3 linked regions of the Lytechinus pictus genome follow. The protein of the gene in region 2 purifies or fractionates together with the protein of the main gene of each other region. This does not show direct contact. Links are inferred from orthologs where the notes say so. Each region holds a gene or a part of one and is shown on either strand. Other genes may lie near its edges. The genes, in order: lysosomal acid phosphatase-like, transmembrane protein 192-like and lysosomal aspartic protease-like.

Evidence for each region.
Region 1: the proteins of transmembrane protein 192-like (region 2) and lysosomal acid phosphatase-like purify together in Homo sapiens (affinity purification with mass spectrometry; 3 studies listed by BioGRID and IntAct, with this or other methods). This does not show direct contact. The link is inferred for Lytechinus pictus from reciprocal best matches to the Homo sapiens genes TMEM192 and ACP2.
Region 3: the proteins of transmembrane protein 192-like (region 2) and lysosomal aspartic protease-like purify together in Homo sapiens (affinity purification with western blotting; 3 studies listed by BioGRID, with this or other methods). This does not show direct contact. The link is inferred for Lytechinus pictus from reciprocal best matches to the Homo sapiens genes TMEM192 and CTSD.

Annotation. Positions count from the first base shown.
Region 1 is NC_087263.1:5,270,104-5,277,839, reverse strand, and holds the start of lysosomal acid phosphatase-like, read left to right. Parts: upstream 1-4,734; 5' UTR 4,735-4,838; coding exon 4,839-4,934; intron 4,935-7,736.
Region 2 is NC_087252.1:4,499,813-4,507,930, forward strand, and holds the start of transmembrane protein 192-like, read left to right. Parts: upstream 1-4,715; 5' UTR 4,716-4,823; coding exon 4,824-4,859; intron 4,860-5,941; coding exon 5,942-6,097; intron 6,098-7,875; coding exon 7,876-8,118.
Region 3 is NC_087246.1:13,756,792-13,765,168, forward strand, and holds the start of lysosomal aspartic protease-like, read left to right. Parts: upstream 1-5,070; 5' UTR 5,071-5,378; coding exon 5,379-5,446; intron 5,447-6,206; coding exon 6,207-6,360; intron 6,361-6,943; coding exon 6,944-7,067; intron 7,068-7,671; coding exon 7,672-7,790; intron 7,791-8,377. UniProt on the Homo sapiens protein: Acid protease active in intracellular protein breakdown. Plays a role in APP processing following cleavage and activation by ADAM30 which leads to APP degradation.

The sequences.
Region 1 (7,736 bases), on a different chromosome or scaffold from region 2:
ACACCAGTGGGTGTTAATAGATGACCACACCCTCTGGTATTAAAATTACACCTTAGAGATTGAATATAACACCAAAGAGTGTACATGTAACAACCAAAGGTGTTGCAATAACACCTATAGGTGCTAAACTAACACTGTCAATTTAACACCGGTGTAAAATCACTGGTGTGATCCTCTATGTACACTGGTTAACACCGCAGTTTTTGCTGTGTACAATTCTGATTAATACTGCAAAATTTGATGAAATATTTTGACTTAGTAAAAGAGGTCGACCTCAACGTCGTCTAAAAGGTCAAATTCTTTTGAATGCGCAATTCGCGAGAACTTTATTAATTGAGAGAACTTCAAAGCTCAATAGCAAAATATCAAGCACAGTCATGAACCCATGTTATATTTTTTTATATTTGAAATATCCAGGTGCTAAAGTAACTCTGTGCAAAATTTTGTGAAAATGATATGGATTTCATTTTAAGTGTGAAACGTCCTTATGTAGTAGGCAAGATGAATGAAATTATGGGTATATAGGCCTAATAGGTATATGAGACGAAATGGTCATTACACTGAACTAAAATAAGTCATCACGAACCATTAAAAAATTGAAATTAATGCATTATATTACATAACATGTGGGGCAGCTGCTCGTTTATGACGTCACAAATCCAAAAGTTGAAATTCTAATAACTTTATTAATTTTTAAATATATTATGGTCATCTTTATCAAATCTTTACCAATATTTTTTATTATTTTTCTGTAATTTTTAAAACAAACTTATCTCCAGGGTGAACTTCCCCTTTAAAATATCCCTGTATGTCCTATACTTGTTTGGGGGGTCAACTCAAGGAATATAGGGCCTAATTGTCAAAGGTGCATTTTCAGAATATGGAAAATACTTGTTAAAGGACAAGTCCACTCCAACAGAAAGTTGATTTGAATAAAAAGAGAAAAATCCAACATGTATAACACTGAAAATTTCATCAAAATCGGATGTAAAATAAAAAAGTTATGACATTTTAAAGTTTTGCTTAATTTCACAAAACAGTTATGTGCACATCCTGGTCTGTATGCAAATGAGGAGACTGATGACGTCATCCACTCACTTTTTCTCTTGTATTTTATTATATGAAATATGAAATATTCTAATTTTCTCCTCATTGCAACAACGATTAATTCCTCCCTGAACACGTGGAATTAGCATTGTTTAATACTATATGGTTCAGTCAAGTTGGTCCTTATTGTCAAATTTGTAAAAAATTAAATATTGTATAATTCAAACAATAAAAAACAAAAGAAATAGTGAGTGAGGGACATCATCGACTATCTCATTTGCATGTTACTCAGTTGTGCATATCACTGTTTTGTGAAACATAAGTGGAACTTAAAAATGTCATAACTTTCTTATTTTACATCCGATTTTGATGAAATTTTCAGTGTTGTGCTAGTTTGATTTTTCTCTATTTATTCAAATCAACATTTCTCTGGGGTGGACTTGACCTTTATTAAGGATGCTTATCGAAACTCCATGGCCGCGCCTGGTATCTACTAGTCAATGGAAGTGGTCCCCCGCATAGGCGGATCCAGGGGGGCCCGATCCCCCTATTGGCGGAGCAAAAAAAAAAGCGAGGGAAGAAAGAAAATTGAAAAAGAAGGGAAAAAAGGGGGAAACATAAGAGGAGGAAAACGAGTGAATAAAATAAGATGAGGGGAAGACTTGGAAAATAATTTTACAAAATCTTTCATGGCACTATATAAAATTTTCGCTCGCGCTTCGCGCTCGCATTGTTTAGGTGATTTACATGTCTTGCTCAATAGGGAACTATTTTGAAGTCAATATACAAAACACATTTCAGCTCAGAAATCGAACTTTCATTATTTTGTTCGATTTACAAATTAATTTTTTTAAAGTGCTCTGTAAAAATTTATGTTATGTTTTCTGAATATTAACATTTTCTGTTTGTGCTGCGCGCTCGCAAAATTTGATTTGTCAGGTATACCTATTATTTTCCTGTATTTCATAAAGTTCTCAAAATATCCCTATTCAGGTCAGAGTGTCAAAACGTATCAGCTAGCGTTGTACGCTGGCATATTGATTGGTGCGTTATGCGTATCTCAATATTAATTCTTTAACAAGCTATACTAAAAATCCCCATTTCATGACAGTTTATCAAAAATTTCGGCTCGCGATTTGCACTCGCATTATTGTTGAAAATATTAACTCATGCATCTTATTCATAATTACAAAGTGCTTTAAATGTCCAGTTTTCAGGCCAGAACATATTTCGTGCTTTCATTAGGCTTATTAGATTAATTAACTAATTTAATAATCAAATTGTCCCTTTTTTAAGAATGGAATATCGACACGTTTCATCTCGCGCTTAGGAAGCGAAATATGAAGATAGTCATAATTTCCTTATGATGACATAATGTTCTTAGTATGTCCCGGCCCTATGTCAAAACTCAAAGTATTAATAATGAAACATAATATCACCTCTTTTTTAACTGTGATCCACATCCACCTCACACTTTTCCTACAAAGTGCTTGAAATACAGAGCTTAAATTGACCCTTTTTCAGATATATAGGAATATAAAATATTTTAAGCTCGTGCTTCGCGCTCGATTTATTGATTTTTATGATAAAAAAGGTATTCAGAATGCCCAGATTCTAGGCGAAATCTGAAACGCGCGCTCATGTTTATTCAGATACGCAGCTTGTTCTCTATTTAATCATCCAGTTTGAGATCACCATTTAAAAAAAATTCTGCTAGCGCTTTGCGCTGGCATTATTAATGTAGGAAGATTTCCCAATTACTCATCCTTTTCGTGATTTACAAAACATGAAAAGAGTGTCCCATTTTTAGGTGTAAATCTCGAATTTTTCCGCTCGCATCAATTGTTTAATTAGTTATGATCTTTTTCACGATTACAAAAAGTGCTTAGAATTTCCATTCTTCAGGTAGAAATGTCAAAATTTTCAGCTCGCGCTTCGCGCTCGCATTATTTGACTGTTGAAATATGTAATGTCTTCATGGCTAACTGCAAGCAGCCGTTAACAGATTCTTTTTTTATCAGAATAATAATATAAATTTCTTATTATTTAGTTGGATACACAATCATCCCGTTTAGGATCACATACATTGCCCAGAATGTTTAAATTTTAGAACAAAATACATGAAATTGCTCGCGCTCGCACTATTCAAATAAAACTTATTATATAGGCCCTATATATATTTATGTTGATTTTTAAGAATAAAGCTTACAATTAAAGGGATGGTCCAGGCTGAAAGTTTTTATAGCTTAATAAATAGAGTAGAATTCACTGAGCAAAATGCCGAAAATTTCATCAAAATCGGATAACAAATAACAAACTTATTGAATTTTAAAGTTTAGCAATATTTTGTGAAAACAGTCGTCGTGAATATTCATTAGGTGGGCTGATGATGTCACATCCCCACTTGTTCTTTTGTATTTAATTATATGAAATTAGGTTTATTCAATTTTTTTCCTCCAAGAACTAGACAAATTGGATTGACAACTGATTTAGTGCATTAGATATTTATTGCTGCAACTTATTTCATTATAAGGGAGACATATTATTCACACAAGTATGAAATAATGAAGAAAAAAAAGACTTTATGTAATAACATAAGAAAACTGAAAGTTGGGATGTGACATTATCAGCCCACCCAGGCAGGGAAGTGTTATAAACACTTCCCTGGCCCACCTAATGAATATTCATGACAACTGTTTTCACCAAATATTGCTTAACTTTAAACTTCAATAACTTTATTGTTTTTAATCCGATTTTGATGAAATTTTCAGCAGTTTGCTCAGTGAATTCTACTCTATGTATTAAAGGGGAATCCAACCCAAAGAAAAACTTGTTTTTATAAGAAAAAGAAAAATCAGACAAGTTGATAGGTGAAAGTTTGAACAATATTGGACAAACAACAAGAAAGTTATGAATTTTTAAAATATATAAATATTGGTAATCACTATACTCATGGAGACTTCAAATTGGCCGCATATGGGATGTCATAGTGATGTAAGGCAAGGACTACTCTTCCATGTACTCCAATACATATTATGGCTAAATTGTCATTTTTCCCCAAAGTTTTATTTCAAATTATATTTTTCTTTCATGAGGACATTAAACAATATACTACCTGGGTTATATTTAGATTACTGCCCCAGGGGAATGGGTACTTGGGAGAAAACCACAAATCCCTGATAATAAAGTACATGGCCTATGGGAAAGTTGTCCTTGCCCCTTGTCATAATTTACTTACCCAGTTGCCAATTTGAAATCTACATTCTGTTAGTGATCTCAATTTTAAAGCAGCTATAACTTTCTTATTGCTTGTCCGATTTCTTTCAAACTTTCACCATTCTGTTTAATTTATTTTTCTCCTTCCCAACACAACATTTTATGGCCAAGGCTGGATTCCCCTTTAAGATATAAATATTTTCAGCCAGGACCATCCCTTTAAGTGACTATATAGATCTAAAGCCTCTAGCACTAGAGGTCTACCCCTTCAAACAAACAAATATCAACTTAGCTTCGAGCGGCCGATCGGGGGAAATGTGGCTGAAAAAATTCCGCCGTCACCCCCCCCCCCCTATTGGCGAAGGCTGGATCCGCCCCTGCCCCGGGTTTCTTTCACTTTACACGTTCCGTGCCCGGTTTCCATGGGGGGGGGGGGGGGGGGTGGGGGTCGGTGGCATCTAAACCGTACCCCGGGAGCATCACATGACTTCATCTACAATCAGTCGATCAATCTTCCATTCTTGTCAACAAAAAACAGTGTTCCGGTCCGATCGGCTCACGGAAAAGAAGGAAAAATGTCGTTCTTAAGCTCTATCCATTTTATCTCTTTGGCAATTTTCATTGTGATAAGTGGTGCTATGTCAGAGAGTACCTTACGTCTCGTAAATGTGGTAAGATTTCTTTATTTATGTATCGAATAAAACTGAAGTTGAAAACTTTAACTTAGTCCCATGCGTTTAAAATGGATGCTTGTTTCACTTTCAGTTTTCACCTTTGGCTTTGACTTTGTGCCTCGTTTTATCTTCATCCAGCATAACTTGTTAGTTCTTATTTTTTCATGGCAATCACTTACTACTACTACGGTTTATATTATTACTGTATTATCATTCTTTTGTTATGTTATCATATGTCATGCCTCATGGCAAATGGTTTGAATTGTAGGTTATAAAATTAAAAATGAGCATGAAACTTATAATATTAGGACTTAATGACAGCTCGATGACAATTAATCTTAGTACCCGGGGGGGGGGGGGGCCACTTCCATTCACGAGTGGATACCATGCGCGACCATGGGGTCTCGAAAAGCACCCTTAACACGTAATTTCCATACTCTGAAAATGCACCCCTTAACAAGTATTGGCGTGTGAAACCCTACCCTTAACAAGTATTGGAAACAAAACGATACTCTTGGCAAGTATTCCCTGAAATGAACCCCTAAACAAGTAGAGGAATGTTTTATTGTTACGGGTCCTTCGGTCGTCGGCTTTACCTTATTTGGTTTAGTACGACCCCACCTTCTACACCTCGCGCAAATCGGACTCTAAACACGAAGTGTTGGGGCAAAATGGACATCCTTTATAAAACATTTTAATTTTGTTTCATCATTCCCGCAAATTCGACCCTAAACACGTAATTTTCCTAGCGAAATAGACACCCTTTTTTTCATTATTTTTGTGTTTTTGACACCCTTATCACGTTACGTACGTAACGTGCCCTATCGTGAAAAGGACATCCTTTTTACGTGTTTTTTTGGTCGCGCATGGTATCCACTCGTCAATGTAAGTGGCCCCCCCGGGTCTTAGTACTCATTCACATCAATCTATATTTTGAGAAATTCCCAGTTTCTTCCTTTCTTGATGAATCCCCATAAATACTTTAAAAAATCATTAAAATATCACTTTTGTGACCAAAATTACTAATTTTCATACAGTTGCAATTTATTTTTCATTAGTAACTTGGGAATAATTTTTGTATTCACCAGAGCCTCTGCCAGCGCTCAAAAACTTGATTTTGGGGCATATTTTTGTGTATGCCCTGTATTGGTGGAAAGTAATATGGCAAGACAATTTTCATTTTTTGATCTCTATTTTTAATTAAGAAAAAAATAATTTAAAGAATCAAATTTACTTAAGAATAAGAGCCAAGTTGAATGACGAATAGGTGTAATGGAAACTGTCAGTGTAAAAAAAAAATCAAGCATTTGTCCCAAAGAAAAAGAGAAAATAAGCCAAACATTGCCACCCTTATTTTGTCACACATGGAGATATAACTGAGCTGAGGACAAGGTTATATCATAACCTTGTTCATTGAATGAGTGGATTTATCCTTTTTCATTTCCCCACCTTTTTAAATGGATCGATCTATGATTTGTGTCATGCAAACTTAAACATGCATATTGTCTTGAAAAGTTCATTATCATCACATCAGATTGAAATATGAATATGATGAAAGAATGTTTTCTAAAGTAATCAATATTTTATTCATGTAGATAAAAAAAAAATCATGTTTTTTATAGAAATTAAAATTAGACTAAAAAATTATGAAATAGTTTTTCTTTGAAACATGCATAATTGATTAACTGAATAATTTAACTAATAAGGTAATGTAAAGCAAAAAAAAAACCTTTTCATATTGAAAAAAGTGTACAATTTGTCATTGAAAAGGTAAATTAGGATGTCATAATCTAGTAATAGATCCTTGCATGAACAAATTCAACCCCACTCATTCAATGAACAAGGTTATAATATAACCTTATTCTCTGTTACTACTACTAGTACTACTCCCTGTGTGGCAAAGTAAAGGTTGGCAATGTTTAGTTAATTTTCCACAGTGGCAAATTGTATAGAACGGATAGGGGAGAGTTCAATGCTAGCGGGCGTGTACATTTTACTTATTACACGACGTCATCCAGCCACTGCTACGAGCCATTTTATGAATGAAAATATAGTGTTGTGTTGTCTTCGGTTCAATATTGCACTTTTGCTTTCAACCAGACTTAAATGAGACGAACCAATGCAAGATGTAGAGTTCATATATTTTTATTAAAGATGATAACTTGATGATGATGATGACAAATACATGTACATTCATGAGTAAGTCTGATGGTGACTATACTCTGAAGATGAAGATATTATAAATGCTGCAAACTGATGTAGTATACTTTTCTGTAGACAGGAATAACCGTAATTTCTGGGGATTTCCTTAACAATTTCTGACATTTCCCTATAATCCCCATTCACCGACGGTAGTTCGTTATGTGAGCTCGCATGTGTTATCACTTCCGCCAATTCGCCGATTAACTGTCCAGACTTTAATATTCTTTTTTAATTCGAATTTACAGTCTAAGGATTTAGAAACTACCCAACTACTATCTTGAATATATGGTTACACTTCGTAATTCCGAAGGTTCTTTATTCCGAAGGTTCGTAATTCCGAAACAAAAAAATTGCCTATACCTCGATGTTCGTTAATCCGAAAACGTAAAAGGGTTCGTTAATCCGAACATTTGTGGCGTTATTCCGAAGGTTCGTTATTCCGAAGGTTCGATAATCCGAAAACGAAATAAGGTTCGATATTCCGAAGGTTCGTTAGTCCGAAAACAAAATAAGGTCATTGTTCCGAAGGTTCGTTAGTCCGGAAACGAAATAAGGTTCGTTAATCATCACGTTTTCGGACTAACGAACCTTCGGAAT
Region 2 (8,118 bases):
TTTGAGTCGCTCAGTGAGCGCGCAAAGCGCGCTCAATTACCAGGTATAGGCCTATTGACCTTATATAGAGACATTTTAAGGACTGTGCCATTAAACGGATATGTAATGTATCTCACTGATCAAATGATGCGAGCGCGAAGCGCGAGCTGAAAAATTTTGAAATTCATATCTAAAAAGGGTAAAAATAAGCTATTAAATAAAAATAAAAAAATACGTATCTGTCTCGCTAAACAAACAATGCAAGCGCGAAGCGCGAGCTGAAATTTTTGTATTTATTGACCCCAAACAGAGACAGTTTAAGGACTATTTTTTAGAAATCAAATAAGAGAATACATATCTCACCATACTCATCTAATTTGAGTGCCAAGCGCTTGCTGATTTTGTTAGAAAACAAGAAACACCTTTTGTAGTCGTTGTAATCATGATTAAAATACGCATCTCACTAATCAAATATTGCGAGCGCGAAGCGCGAGCTAAAAATTTAGGAAATTCAGACCTGAAGAGAAGCATTCTAAGGCTTGTTTGTAGGAATTTACGAAGACCATACGTACTTCACGTACAAAATGATGCGAGCGCGAAGCGCGAGCTGAAAATTTTGTATATATTGACCCCAAACAGGGACATTTTAAGGACTATTTCTTTTTTTTAATCCATTAAGAGTATACATATCTCACCATATAGTCATCCAATGCGAGTGCCAAGCGATTGCTGATTTTGTTAGAATCACATTCAAACACATGAAGAGCTTTTTGTAGTCATAGTAATCATGATTATCATACGTCGCATCTCAGTAGCGCAAAGTGCGAGCTAAAAATATAGGAAATTCAGATCTGAAGAGGGGCATTCTAAGGCTTGTTTGTAGGAATCTACTATGACCATACGTATTTCACTAAACAAATGATGCGAGCGCGAAGCGCGAGCTGAAATCTTTTGATATTTACATTAGAAAAAGAAACATTTTAAGGACCGATTTCAGGAATTCATGAGCAGACAAATCTCATCAATCCACTAATTCGAACGTAAGCACGAACACGAACAAGGATTTTTTTTATATACAGACCTTAAAATGGGGCTATCACTTTAAGTAGTCATGAAAAGAAGCATATGTCACTACATAAAACAATAATAACTCGAAGTGCGATGATATATATTTGGTGCATATTGACTTGAAAACAGGACGTTTTGGTACAACATGATTGTACATGTATATCTCGTTAAACAGACAATGCTAGTACCAGGAATAATGAACAAATAGGACCTGAGCACATTATGTTTCATAAAGTTATGAAAAAAAAAATTCTTATGTAATATAACACAACATATAATATAATATAACATTAAAATGTACAATAAATTCTTCTTTCCCACTACGTTTCTTTCTTCTCCCTCTTTTTCTCCCTTTTCTCCCGTTTTTTTTTTTTTTTTTTTTTTTTTTTTTTTGCCAGCCGATAGGGGGGGGCACGTGCCCCCCCATGCCCCCCCCCCCCCCGTAGTTACGCCACTGTCAGTACTCCAATACATGAAATGGCTAAAATGTATTTTTTTTCAAAAGGTTTACTTCAAATTGTATTTTTTCATGAGGACATAAAACAATATATTACCGTATATTTAGATTACTGCCCCAATTAAGGGAATGGGTACGTAGGAGAAAACCACTACAAATCCCTGATGATTAAAAGGTCAAGTCCACCCAAGAAAAAATGTTGATTTGAATAAATAGAGAAAAAGCATAACGCTGAAAATTTTATCAAATCGGATGTAAAATAAACAAATGATGACATTTTAAAATTTCGCTTACTTTTCACAAAACAGTGATATGCACAACTCAGTGACATGCAAATGAGACAGACAATAATGTCCCTCTTTCACTATTTCTATTGTTTTACATTGTTTAAATTATACAATATACAGATTTGACAATAAGGACCTGCTTGACTGAACCATACAGGGACCGCGGAACCGGGGGGGGGGGCTGGGGGGGGGGCTTCAGCCTCCCCCCCCCCCACTATTTTCCAAAACCGTGTACAAAAATGTAAAAATGACCATATGATTGTGATTTTTTGCATGGTCAGCCCCCCCCCCCCCACTTTGAAAACCGTACCGCGGCACCTGCCATAGTATTAAGCAATGCTAATTCCACATGTTCCAGGAGGAATTAATTTTGACTTAACGTCAGATCACACGTACGGATCATGTTATGATTTAAAACAAGCTTAAACTTCACTTTCTCTGATCTGAGCAATTTTCATCACGCACTTCGTGCTCTATGAATTATTATTATCATTATCATTAATATTTTTATTATAATTATCATCATTATTGTTATCATCATCATCATCAATCATCATCAATCATCCATCATCATCATGGGCGGATCAAGCTCCCATAAGGCATGATAGGGGGGGCGAATTTTTTTAACCCATATTCTTCCCGATCGGCCGCTAAAAGTTGATTTTTGTTTGTTTCTGTGAATGGGTTGTCCCGGTGGCGTAATGAGCCAAAAATGGGGAGTGGGCTCGATACGGCGTATCGCGTAAAATTATTAAGAAGTTGCGAGCGAGCAAAAACTTTGACATTTTTATTACAAAAATCAAAGTTTGTGATAAATTTTGACATAACATTAGCAAAATAATAGGCCTATATTTTACCCTTTTATCCCTTTCCTTTTCTCTTATTATTATTTTTTTTTTGGGGGGGGGGGCAAAACGCCGTTGTCTTAACAGTTATTTCTTAGCTTTATTCTTATAAAACAGTGTAATAATCTCATTAGCCCTATTTAAATAGTGCGAGCTGAAATTTTTTGGAATTTCATGTATTTGGTCCTGAAAATTGAATATTCTGGGCAATGTTTGTGAACCTGTAACTAGATAATAACTGCGAGCGCGAAGCGCGAGCAGGACATTTTAAAATGGGTTCTGGCTTGATCTGAAAGGGACCTATTAAGGACGTTTTGCAGTCAGCCATGAAGACGATACATATTTCAACTATTGAATAATGCCAGCGCGAAGCGCGAGCTGAATTTTTTTTGACATTCCGACCTAAAAAATTGACATTCTAAGCACTTTTTGTAATCATTAACGGTATAGATATAAAACCAAAGAATTGATGCGAGCACGAAGCGCGAACAGAAAAAGAAATGAGATTTCAGACTTAAGAATGGGACACTCTATTCATGTTTTGTAAATCATGAAAAAGGATGGGTAATTTGGTATCTTTCTACATTAATATTGCGAGCGCAAAGCGCAAGCAGAAAATTTTTGATATTCTGATCTGAAACTTTGATAATTTTAGAGTACATGTAACTTAATTTTAGATAATTATAATTTTAATCTAAAGCACTGTGTAGGGGAATTGTGAAGAGGATGTGGGTAGCACTTAATAAATGATGCGAGTGCGAAGCGCAAGCTGATATTATTATTTTGACCTATATAGGACCTGGACATTCAAGGCCTAAGGACATTTTGTCATCATAATATGATGACTATCTTCCTATTCCTCTTCCTAAGCGCGATATGAAACTTGTCGATATTCCTTTCTAAAAAGGGACAATTTAGTTATTAGGAATTCATGAAAATTTTATTATCATATTTATTAATGTAATAAGCCTAATGAGTGAGTGAAATCTGTTGACATTTAGGCTTGAAAACTGGATATTTCAAGCACTTTTGTAATCATGAATAGGGCTCTTAAGAATTGTTATATTTTCAACAATAATGCTATAGCGCAAATCGCGAGACGAAATTTTTGATAAACTGTCATAAAAGGGGGATTTTAAGTAGTCTGTTACAGAATTGAGAATCTTATGGAATAAACAAAGACAATATGTAAGCCTACTTGGCAAATCAAATAATGCGAGTGCACAATATAAAAAGCTGCAAATTATATTCACACAATAAAACGGACATTTTAAAAAGCACTTAAAAAATCAATTAGTAAATCAAACAAAATAATGAAAGCTCGATGTCCGAGCTGGAATTGTATATTGACTTCAAAACTTGATATTTTAAGCTACATATCAGCCTATTGAGCAAGACATGTATTTCATCGAACAGGCTATGCGAGCGCGAAGCACGAGCAAAAATTTGATATAGTGACATGATATATATTTTTTAATAATTTTCCAAGTCTTCCTCTGACCTTATTTTATTCACTCGTCTCCCTATTATTTTCTTCCTTTCTTTCCCCTACTTTTTCTTTATTTTCTTTCGTTCCCCCTTTTTTTCATGTTTTGCTCCGCCAATAGGGGGGGGGGGCGAGCCCCTCGGGCTCCCCTGGATCCGCCTATGATCATCATTACCATCATCATCCCCATGCACCAAAAGTCATAGTGTTTTTGTTTAACTTTTATTTATTTATTTATTTAGATATATTTATTTATTTATCTATTCATTTATTTATTATTATATTTTTTTTTTTCATTAGTAGAATCATTTTTGTGGGGAGGGGCCACATTTTTAATGTAAAATGAAATTGAAGACCTTTTTTTTTTTTTTTTTTTGCTTGTCAAATTTTTCTGGTACGAAATATCCTTTATTTGTGGTTGAAAACCTTGTTTTGGAGGGCTTGTCAAAAATTTCCTCCGAAAAATTTGCCCCCCTTGGAAAATCCTGGATCCGCCCCTGAATCAAGGGGGAATCACTCTAATCACCACCCCCCCCCCCCCCCCCCCCCCCCATCCGAGTGAAGATAGCTAGATCATGTGACATGCTAGAGTCAGGTGACCCCGGTCAGATATACGTCATTCTTCGACTTCGAGATTGTAAATGGGAGTCGGAAATTGAAAACAAATCTCACATAATTTCAGTTTTATAGTTATTACTAAAATGGTTAGCTTGGACCATGACAGTACAAGGCAAGGGGTGAGTGTGTACAGAGAAACAATTTTTCATGCTGTTAATTGCATGAATCGATGAACTCAGTCTTTACTAGCCTAGAATTCGAAGCCTGCAAAAATGTTTTGGTCATGTGCCCCGCACGTCCATTTTTATGTATCCTTATTTTGTGTACGAAGGGGCGGCATGTCGGCGCACCTGAAAAACGCTAAAGATTTAACTGGCGATTAAACATGAATTCCTCTTTAGTCCACAAAAAAATCACGTGATAATGTTCCTTATATTCTTATGAGTAAATGTGCCAAAAATCTCATTGAAAATGAGAGAAATAGGCCTGCACTGTATGATTTTCTTGGAAAAAACCTTGGCCAGTCATTTCAGATAACAGAAAATGTTGCCTCATCAATGTCTGCGCACCCATTCACTTTACACTATGCAGACATGGCCATTGGGGACCTTACCATATATGAAGTTTTACCATATTAATCATAAAAGAGGGCCTTCTACAAGTTCTATGCATTTAACTTGGCTTTACCTTTAAAAAATCAGTTTTGGTTCTTAATTTTCAAGTGATTTACCTTTGCAAAACCACTCGCACTACATTATTACATACTAACAAACTAACGATCTCGAATGTTGCAAAATGGAATTCTTGTAATTATTTTTGGCTTTCTGTGACATGCATGAATTTTGTATGGCTATGTGTAATGTGAAAAACAGGATTTCTATTTTCCTTTTCTATGTAATAGAAGATTTTGAAACAGAATTACAGGTTTTCAGAAACAGAACAGACCATTTTTTTAATGACGGATCCATTCAATTCATGTTTGAACTGTTATATATCCGGTGTGTTGGCTCAGTTGGTAGAGCGTCAGTCTCACAACCGGGAGGTCGGGGGTTCAAACCCTGGCTGTGTCAGACCAAAAGACGTTAAAAGATGGGAGTTGCTGCTACCCTGCTTGGCGTTCAACGATAGAGCCTCGTCGATTTGGCGCTGCACAGCGACTGCATGCTGGGCCCACGATCAATTGGGCAAAGCAAATATTAGGAGTATTTCATTTCATGTCTATTTCGAATGATAAAATATGGATTTTCATTTTCATATCCAGGGCTTTTTCTTTGATGGTGAAGGTGGTAACCCTTCAGCTGATTTCCAGAATGATGACGAGGAACTGATTCCAAGTAATGGCCTGGCATCGGAAGAAGCCCCAAAGTTTCGCCCAATCAGAGCAGTTTGGGCGGCTGTCCTTCAGATAATCATCCTTGTAAGTCAATGATTTATCCACCTTAGATTATGTTGTTTGTTGTTTATTTATTTATTCATTGATTTATTAATTACTTATTACCTATTTACTTCTTTTCATTTATGTACAGTTGAGGCCAAAAGTTTACATACACCCATGGAATTCAGTGAAATTTGTTTGCTTGCCAAACATCGTAAAATTTACTATATCTTCAGAAATATAAATACTACCATGCAAAATTTGGTATTAGATGAAAAAGCGTATTAAGCTCTTTCACATGATTTGGATGGCATTGGGATCAAAGTATATTACAGGTGGAATTTTCTTTGAAGAAAAAAAATAATATTCGTGCCAATTGTATTCTATTGTTTGTTATTATATTTTCAAACATCGTTTCATTTATATATAAATGTCAAATAAATGATTTATACTACATTTTCTATCATGATATGTCACCACTGAACAAAAAGAGCAATCTGATATGTTTGTGTTGAGAAGTAACTAGCACAAATATGAAATGTTTTTGTCGAGTTTTTATTTTGAATTTGTCTAAAATAGGAAGATTTTTTGGAGAAAAATAACACCTAAATATGTTTCAGCTCTTCATGATAAAGCAATGTGATGAAGGGGCATGACTACTCATTTGTTTTATATTGAATTCGTCATAATAGCACAAATATTTTATAAGATACAGTAAATTTTATGATGTTTGGCAAGTGTCAACTTTTCTTTAAATTTCCTGGGTGTATGTATGTATGTAAACTTCTGGCCTCAACTGTATTTATTTATCTATCTATCTATCTTTAGATTCATTTTTTTAATTCATTTATTTATATACTTATTTATGTATCTATTTATGTAATTATTTATTTATTGGGTATTGAAAGATCTTTTCCTTAATATTGTATTAATTAGCAATCAATATCTAGCCTACTGTAAGTTGAGATAATTAATCATGTAATATTTATTATACATGGTGTGTTTTTATATTTTTTATACATATAAAATATAAAACAATATCAATAGTGAGAGCATTTGTATTGTGCTGTTTATATTTTGTCAGTTTGTGAGTACATGATTCCTGGAATATATTAATGAGGTTAACTTAGATGTGTCATAAAAAAAAGAATTAGATTTTACATGTTATCTTCTTCATAAATCTTTTAATATTATTAATTATATCATCACCTACATGGGCGGAAATGTCTCCCAAAGGTAGGGGGACCAGGGGCTGGAAACTTTGACAAGCAAAAAAAGGTTATCACCAAAAATGTAAGGTCATTTTAACCAACAAATTTAAACGAGCAAAAAAAAAATGTTTTCACCAAAAATGAATGGTAATTTCGTCATTTAGTCCAAAATATATATGTATTATTTCGATTGCGAATGATGTATTTTTCTCCATCATTACAAAAAAGAATAGTAGGGGGGACACTTGATATTGTGTCCCCCTACGATTTTGAGTAGGGGGGATGCGTCCCCCCTGGGATTTCCGTCCATGATCACCTATAGTCTTATCTCTCATAATGCATTGGTGACACATTTGCTCAGACTGCAACATTTGTTGTGGTCTTAATAGGGCATAGGGTTATAGTTTGGATTGTAATAGAGTTTTTGGTTCAGAATAATGTCAAGATAAGGATCAGAGTTTATTTAGTTTTGAAGGTTAGGTTTTATGTTTGGCTTAGCGTACAGATTTTCTATCAGAGCAATTGCCGCATATATCATGGAACCAATTCATTAACTTGTACATTAATTTTGTGATGATATTCCTTGCACTCCTTATCTCTTATACACAGGTCGCCCATGAGGTCATAACCATTCTCCTACCGTATGTCATCATCAAGCAAACCTCAGACATCCAGCAGCAGAGATCCCATAGCTTCATCATCATCGTCTATCTCCAGACGTGTGTCTGGCTTATTCTGCTCATGTTTGAGCGCTATCTTCACTTTGCTCACAGGCGGTCCATGCGGCATGGCTACCTTCAGTTCTATCGCAAGACGCAGAAATTGAAAAGGGTTCCGCTCTATATGATATCA
Region 3 (8,377 bases), on a different chromosome or scaffold from region 2:
TGCTTCCGAGGGAGGATAGCTCTGAGGAGCTTTGATTTAAGCTACGCGTACCATTATTCTCTTAACCTATTTTTCACAATATATTATATTACACAAATGTGAAGAGGAAAGACCTAAACATTGCGTGGGTGCTTTTGTGACGTATAATTTGAAAGGATGCTAATAAGGGAAGAAATCTTAAGGCATGATAGACTGGCCTGGGTTTCTTCAAATTTTATAATAAGCTTTCGGAATTTGGGTCTTCTTCTTCTGCAGATGTATGATAGAAAAAATGGTTATAACGTACAAACAAATTCTTCATGTGAGCCATATTATCAAATACACATACAAAAAAAAAAAAAAAAATACGTTTACATATTTATATGTTAAGATTCTTACACGTAATATGCAATATATTTTTATGATTACCCTCAGTGGCATACCTTGGGTCATGACATTGGGGGCATCAGCAAAAATTTTGAGTTACTTAGTGGGCGCGCGAAGCGCGGTCAATAGCCGAATATACTGACCTAATAGAGCCATTTTAAGGACTGTGCCATTAAACGGATATGTTTGTCACTGATCAAATAACGCGAGCGCGAGCAGAAAATTGTTGATATTCAGACCTAAAAAAAAAAAAACAATGTGAGCGCGAAGAGCGAGCATAAATTTTTGTATATATTGCCCCCAAACATTTAGGGACATTTTAAGGAGTATTTTTTTTAAAGAATTCATGAAGAGCATACATATCTCACCATAGTCATCTAACATTTGTCTAATGCTAGCGCCAAGCGCTTGCTGATTTTCTTTTTTTTTTTAGAATTCCGCCTAAGCACATAAAGCACTTTATGTAGTTTCATGAAATGTATCTCACTAATCAAATATTGCAAGCGCGAAGTGCGAGCTGAATTTTTTTTTTGAAATTCAGACCTGAAGAGGGGCATTTTAATTATACCATACATATTTCACTTACCAAATGATACGCGCGTAAAGCGGGAGCTGAATTTTTTTTATATTCAGGCCATAAGAGGGGACATTTTAAGGACTGTTTCAAGGAATTCATGAAAAGCAGACATATTTCACCAATCCACTAATGCGAATGACAGCACGGACTGGAAATGTTTTATATTCAGACCTTAAAAGTGGGCAATCACTTTAAGTAGTCATGAAAAAGATCGAAGCATATGTCACTACATAAAATAATAAAAACTCGAAGTGCGAGGAAATATATTTGGTTTATATTGACTTAAAACGTTTGAGTATCATTTAATCCCCTTGAACAGGATCATTTATTTCATTAAACAGACAATGCGATCCAAGGATTGATGAACACATAGCCCCTAAGCAAATTAGGTTTCATAAAGTTGATTTTTAATGTAATATAATATGATATATATAATATAGTATAAAGTAATATGATATAATACACAATAAGGCAGTTTTTCTTCCCCCACTACGTTTCTCTTTTTATCTTTCTTCTCCCTCTTTTTCTCCTTTTCCTCCGTTGTTTTTTTTTTGGGGGGGCAGCCGATTGGGGGGAGCGTGCCGCCCCCCCCCCCGCAGTTACGCCATTGATTACCATCTTTAATGATTTGATTTAATATCATATAATAATTGAATATAACAATAGTGATTAGATATATTTCCAGATCTTTTTTATTTCCATATTGGCACGCTCAAGTCAAAAGCTGTATTCTCCCCTCTTTCCCTTTTCATTAACTTTGTTTTAATACAAACTCATTATACCAGTGAAGAGCTATCTAAATGATTGGATGGTGGACATAATTGGATTTAAAGTTTGGACTTGCATCTGATATGAGATTAGATGCTGTTGAATATTTTTAGATTTTATTCTTCTGATGCACAATTCCAAATTATTTTAATCAAGAACAACAATGATTAGATAAATAAAAAAGTTACGTCTTCTCACCTCTTGGTTCTTCATTTATAGACAATGCTTCAGTGAAATTAACGTTTCCCGCGAAAAACACCAAACACACGATGGATACGAGACTGAAAAACATGTTAAACATGAAAGCAATCGAATGAAATGACTGATAATCAATCAAACGTCAGATGAGAACGATGTCAAATCGATCACTTCGTACCAGCATTTTGATAATTAGACGACATGGAGGCCAGCCTTGGTTCAAGTACTCGGCTTATCATCAAAGTGGAAACCTGAAGGATAGGCGCTTTTATGGCAAATATATACGGCCATGGCAGAGAAAGATTCACTGTGACGCCCTTTTAAACTGCACAGAAAATGAAATAACGTCCGGTCATTTCCTATTGGACGAAAATTTTACGTGTAATCCTGAATTCAATTATCATGAAGCGAATGTATGAGTTGCCGTTCATGGCTAAATAATGAAGATGTCAATGCGAACAGGTTGAATTAACCAATGACATTGGATAGCTGCAAGCATTTTCCCCACTCCGACAATTTCCCCGGATTAGACCAAAATTTGCTCTATCTTTTCCCGGGGAGGGGGAGGCAGTCAAATACATTGCTGTACAAACGCGCGACCAAAAAAAACGCGGTTAAGGGTATCAAAAACACCGATTTTCAATATAGGGTGGTTTTGAAAGACTGGTCAATGGTCACTTGCGGGGTCAAACCGTAACGTATTTTGGGTATTTTTTTTTTCTAAAGCTTTTTTTTTCTAAGACTGGCCAAACGTGTTTAGGGTATGTTTTTTCCCTCAAGCTTTTTCCCCGGGGCTTTTTCCTCCTCGTTTCTGAAAAGTGCTCAGGTTCTTCCTGATTGTGGTATTTTAACCCTTACTGCACTGGGGGGGGGGGGGGGGAGGGGGGGGTATGCAATACCCATGAATATAGTCTTGTCTATATTTAAATATATTGTTAGCAAGAAGACAAACCTTGTTTGGGGGGTCATATTCTGGCGACAACTTGTTTAGGGGCCAAAATGTGTTAATGAAGCTCGCGAAAAACTTGTTTAGGGGGTTATTTTGCACCGGCAGAGAAAAACTCGTTTAGGGGGTGTTTGGAAATAATTTGGCCACCCGTGTGTACAGTAAGACATTTGGCAAGCCCCCGGGTATCATTTATCGTGCCTATATATTTTGTTTGAATGCCTATATTCACCAACACATATTAGTTATTGTTTATGTAGTACAAATTCATAGTACGGCAAGGAGATGCCATAAACATGATGATCGCTGATGTGGTTTACGGTACACCATGTGGAGTGTTATAGAAACAGTGGATAGAAGAAGAGAAGAAATGGATAGGCGAGAAAGTGGAGATTTGAGAGTAGAGTATTCTTTCTTGAAAGTCGTCCTGAAAAGGACTCTAAACCAGGAAAGATTGATGAGTTGAGAACAGCTTGAGTAGTAGAGCTAATGAGGAGATGCTGGCTTGAGTCGGCGAGTAGAGATGATGAGTAGTAGAGAGACTCGACGTTTCGGACAGCTTAGTCAAGCTGTCCGAAACGTCGAGTCTCTCTACTAAAAAAATAGTTTTCTTGTTTATCTGTTTTTACTTTTTAATATATTTTTAGCCAAATGGAAATGTTATTTCTGATTCCGTATGTCTAGTTTTTTTTCACGATCCAAAACTTAAAGCAAGTTTTGAATACTGCAAATTGGAAATAAGCTAACACAAAATAAATCTAGTTATAATAGTAGTAAGGTTGCATGGGACTTTACCTGACAGCATTCAGAGGGCCCAACGAGATTTCTTTTGGTGTGGGGTGCTTATCATGAGGAAAAACTATCTTGGAACCATACATTGATCATGACGATAATGATAAAATCGTTGCTCGACACAAGCAGGCTGGCATCAGGTTTAGCAAAGCGAGACACTTCCTACCCACTAAACTAAACCACTAGTTATTTTCACCTTATATTAAAACAGACTTATTCTTGTTAGCACTAGCGTACCTAAGGGGGGGCAGACTGCCCCCCCCCCTGACGAGTCACAACTCATGCAGGGGACGTATCCCTGCCCCCTGACAAGTCACAACTGATACAGGGGACGTGCCCCCCCCCCTTTATCTGTTTTTACTTTTTAATATATTTTTAGCCAAATGGAAATGTTATTTCTGATTTCGTATGTCTAGTTTTTTTTCACGATCCAAAACTTAAAGCAAGTTTTGAATACTGCAAATTGGAAATAAGCTAACACAAAATAAATCTAGTTATATTAGTAATAAGGTTGCATGGGACTTTACCTGACAGCATTCAGAGGGCCCAACGAGATTTCTTTTGGTGTGGGGTGCTTATCATGAGGAAAAACTATCTTGGAACCATACATTGATCATGACGATAATGATAAAATCGTTGCTCGACACAAGCAGGCTGGCATCAGGTTTAGCAAAGCGAGACACTTCCTACCCACTAAACTAAACCACTAGTTATTTTCACCTTATATTAAAACAGACTTATTCTTGTTAGCACTAGCGTACCTAAGGGGGGGCAGACTGCCCCCCCCCCCCCCTGACGAGTCACAACTCATGCAGGGGACGTATCCCTGCCCCCTGACAAGTCACAACTGATACATGGGACGTGCCCCCCCCCCCCCCTTTGAGAAGCCAAATCAATAATTTGTAATGTAAAACTGCAATAAAAACAGACGTGTACCCCCTCATTTGAACCTGAAGACCTTTTTTTTTTTTTTTCCTTGTCAATTTTTTTGTGGTAAGAAATCCTTTTGTGTTTTGGTTGAAGACCTTTTTTTTTTTTTTTTTGCTTGTCAATTTTGTTTGTGGTAAGAAATCCTTTATTTGTGGTTGAAGACCTCTTTTCTTTTTGCTAGTCAAATTTTTTCGCGGACGAAATATCCTCCTAAAAATTTGCCCCCCTTCTGGAAAATCCTAGGTACGCCAGTGCTTGTTAGTAAAAATTAAGATAAAAAATATTTTAACTTAAGTCTTAAGAATTCCCCCCACCCCCCCCCCCCCCTCCTCCTCCGAGGAACCAATCAGGTTGATCGTTCTTTCTTATTCCGAGTCCCTCTTTTGGACAGTGGTGGGATATGACCCTGGTTGTCATTCATATCAGAGGTGGATAAAATAAACATCCACCTCTATGATTTATAGCGTACCAATCTACAACAAAAGAATCACGTGACAGTTCGCGCGGTCATGTGATTTAAATGTCTTCCGCAATTCTGTTGAGAGAAAATCAATAGAGGTCGCGTACAATGCAATCTATAGCACTGATGAATCACATGATGCGTCCCGTGACTCGACCCGACTTGTACCTGCTCTCCGATCTCCCATGTATTCTGCTTCTTATTTGCATTTAAATCCAAGAAAAGTCAAGTCCCCAACCAAACTCTTCCTCCTGAAAAAGGAATGTGAAGGCAGCTCTGTATTCTAGAGGGGTTTGATCTGGAATTTCACATCTAACAAGTTACAGCAAGGCTAAGGGAGAATGAAGACGTTTTTCGCAACAGCACTGCTGCTGCTGCTGGCAGTTGCAGCAAACGCGCAGCTTATTAGGTGAGTGACTTTAAAACAACTCACCACAAATAATCGTAAGCCAAAATGTCTAAATAAGTACAGTCATCTAATCCAAGCAGTCCTGTCAAAAAATGTATCGAGCCGAAACTATCTTAGGCAAAAATTAGACAGGAAAAAATATATATTTCTTTCATAAGAAAATTAAGAGTTTGAAACATTTTTCTTTAAAAAAAAGGTTAGGCCTATTTTTTTTTTCATTGACATGGCATAGGAACCAGTTTGAGTAAGTTAAACCCTAACAAGCTACTTAAATCTCTTCCTTAAACTGTTAACATTAGATGGAAGAAACCAATGGAGCCAGACTTAGTGTCAGCATAACACTGGACTCTGGAGATTAAGATTTTATTGTCTTGTCAAATCAATACATCTGATTTATTCTTTAAGGTCTCATCTGTTGGTCAAACTGTTCCAGCATTGCAGCAGTTTGCTGTAGTGTTGGATACACAAGAACATTAATTTTCTTGAAATTGAGACAATTCATGACTATCTTTATTATAATGCAAGTATTTTTTCTGATGATCTGTAGATGGAACTTTGAATTGTGGATTGTGAATCAAACCAAATGTTCCCTTATTTTCATGTAAATGTGTATGAAATTCTTAACATGTTTTTTTATATTTTTACCTGAATATGTAGGCCTTTTTTATTATTTTAATGATTGCATTGGCTTATATTTATCATGATTTATATGATGACAAGTTAACATCAATACAAATTCTAATCTTTATTTATTTCTCAGGGTACCACTGAAGAAGATGGAATCTGTACGTCATCAAATGGCCAACACAGGACTACCCTTTAAAGATTTGGCTCAACTTTCCAACAAGTACAACATGATGAACACCAACAAACTTGGCACACCATGGCCAGTAAACATGAGCGACTATCTTGATGTGAGCCCAAGAACAACACCTCATATTTTATTAGGAACAGAAATTCAAAGTTTTTTTTTTTACATGTATATTTTTCATAAAAGAAGAGGCAAGAAACAGCAAACTTATTATCTTGAATCAAAACAATAAAATTACTTTTCACATGTCTATTCCAATAATACTGTATGACAATTTTGTGCATTAAAATATGATGGAAGATTCAGATTTTTACTGTGCTCCTGATGAGTGGTCTTCTTTTATTTTATAAGTATATTTGTGTGTTTATGTCAACTTGCATTTAACATTTTTTTGTGTTCAATTTCATAAGTTTTTGGTTATACTTCTCAAAACCTGTCTGCTCCAGCATCTTTGGCATACAGAATGGGAGGGGGGAGGTCTCTTGTCCCCCCCCCCCCCCCCCCCCCCCGGAGTGGTGACATTGTCTGTATGGACGTTCCAAAGGCACTGTCACTGCCATCCCTGTGTATCTGCATTCTGTCTGTTTATAGGTGTTTTTTAACTTTTCTCACCACAGATCTGCATATTTGAGATGGTGTGATGGCTAACCATTTTAATTTTATTTATTTATTTTTTCATTTTGCAGGCCCAGTACTATGGAGAAATCTCTCTTGGCACACCTCGCCAGAATTTTACTGTAGTCTTTGACACTGGCAGTGCTGATCTCTGGGTACCATCTGTCAAGTGTGGTTTCCTTGACGTTGCCTGTCGTAAGCTTGCTTGTTATATTTCAACCCTATTAGTCCTGGGATATTTTAGTCTTTTAATTCCAAAGCAGTGATGATATTCCTCCAATGTCAATCCAGATTCTGATTTATAATTTTTTTTCCAGCAAGATGTCAGATTTTTCTCATTCATTTTTTCCTTAGTTTTTAAGATGATAATTTTCTTTTGAAAAATAAGTGTACTGGTACGCAGTCATTTAGCACCTGATTATCCAGTATTTATAAACATAGTTCTATGACATGTACTGTATACACACATGTTGTATAGATGTGTGCATACGCAGTATTTTTCAAATGAAAGGGGGGTTTTCAAGCTGAATGAAAAAAATTTTGACACCCCCAACAAAAAAAGGTCTTCACCCATATTTTTAAGTCATTTGGTAACCCCCCCCCAAAAAAAAAAAATGACAAGCAAGCAAAAAAAAGGTCTTCAACCTTATTTTAGGGGGGTTGGGTATAAAAAAATCAAAGGGGGGGGGTTGAACACCTGTAACCCCCCTCCACCTTGCGTACGCCACTGATGTGCACATTCATGCACACATACAGGTTTTAAAAGTAAAAATTATATTTACATTTCCCTAACTTGCAGGCTTTCATCACAAGTACGACAGCTCCAAATCATCAACTTATGTTGCTAATGGAACAAAATGGTCTCTACAGTATGGATCGGGTGCTTGCTCTGGATTCGTCAGTGAGGATACAATACAGGTGAGTTATATTTGATGGTAATGAACTTGATGATGTGGGGATGGATGGGAGGGGATGTCAGAACAAAAGGGGAGGAAAAGAAAGTGGATCTAACAAAGGAGGAAGAAGATGAGAAGGCCTAGATTGCAAAATGAAGGCGGATAAGTTAAAGGGGAGGATGACAGAGGAGAAAATTTAAAAAAAGAACATGCAATGTTTGAATTTTTCTGTAAAAGGGTCTTTGATCGTAATTGAGTATCAGAAAACTACAGACCAAGTTTATTTCCTAGAATTATGACGTCAGCAACAAGCTTCATCTCTAATACGTTTGCCTATTTTATGGATTCTATTTACGGATAATAAGTCAAATATACACATAAATGTGTTTGGTAGTATATTATAGTTTCAAAATACGATTTGATGAGTAATTTTACATCATTATCTACATTTTCCAAATTGGCTAATTAGCTATAACTTGCCAATTTGGAAATCGTAGGTATGGGTGTAAAATCAAAACTCATCGAATTGAATTTTTAAAATTAAATATGTTAACTAATTGAGCATAATATACATGTATTTATGAGCTTTAAGTGTATAATTGATTTATT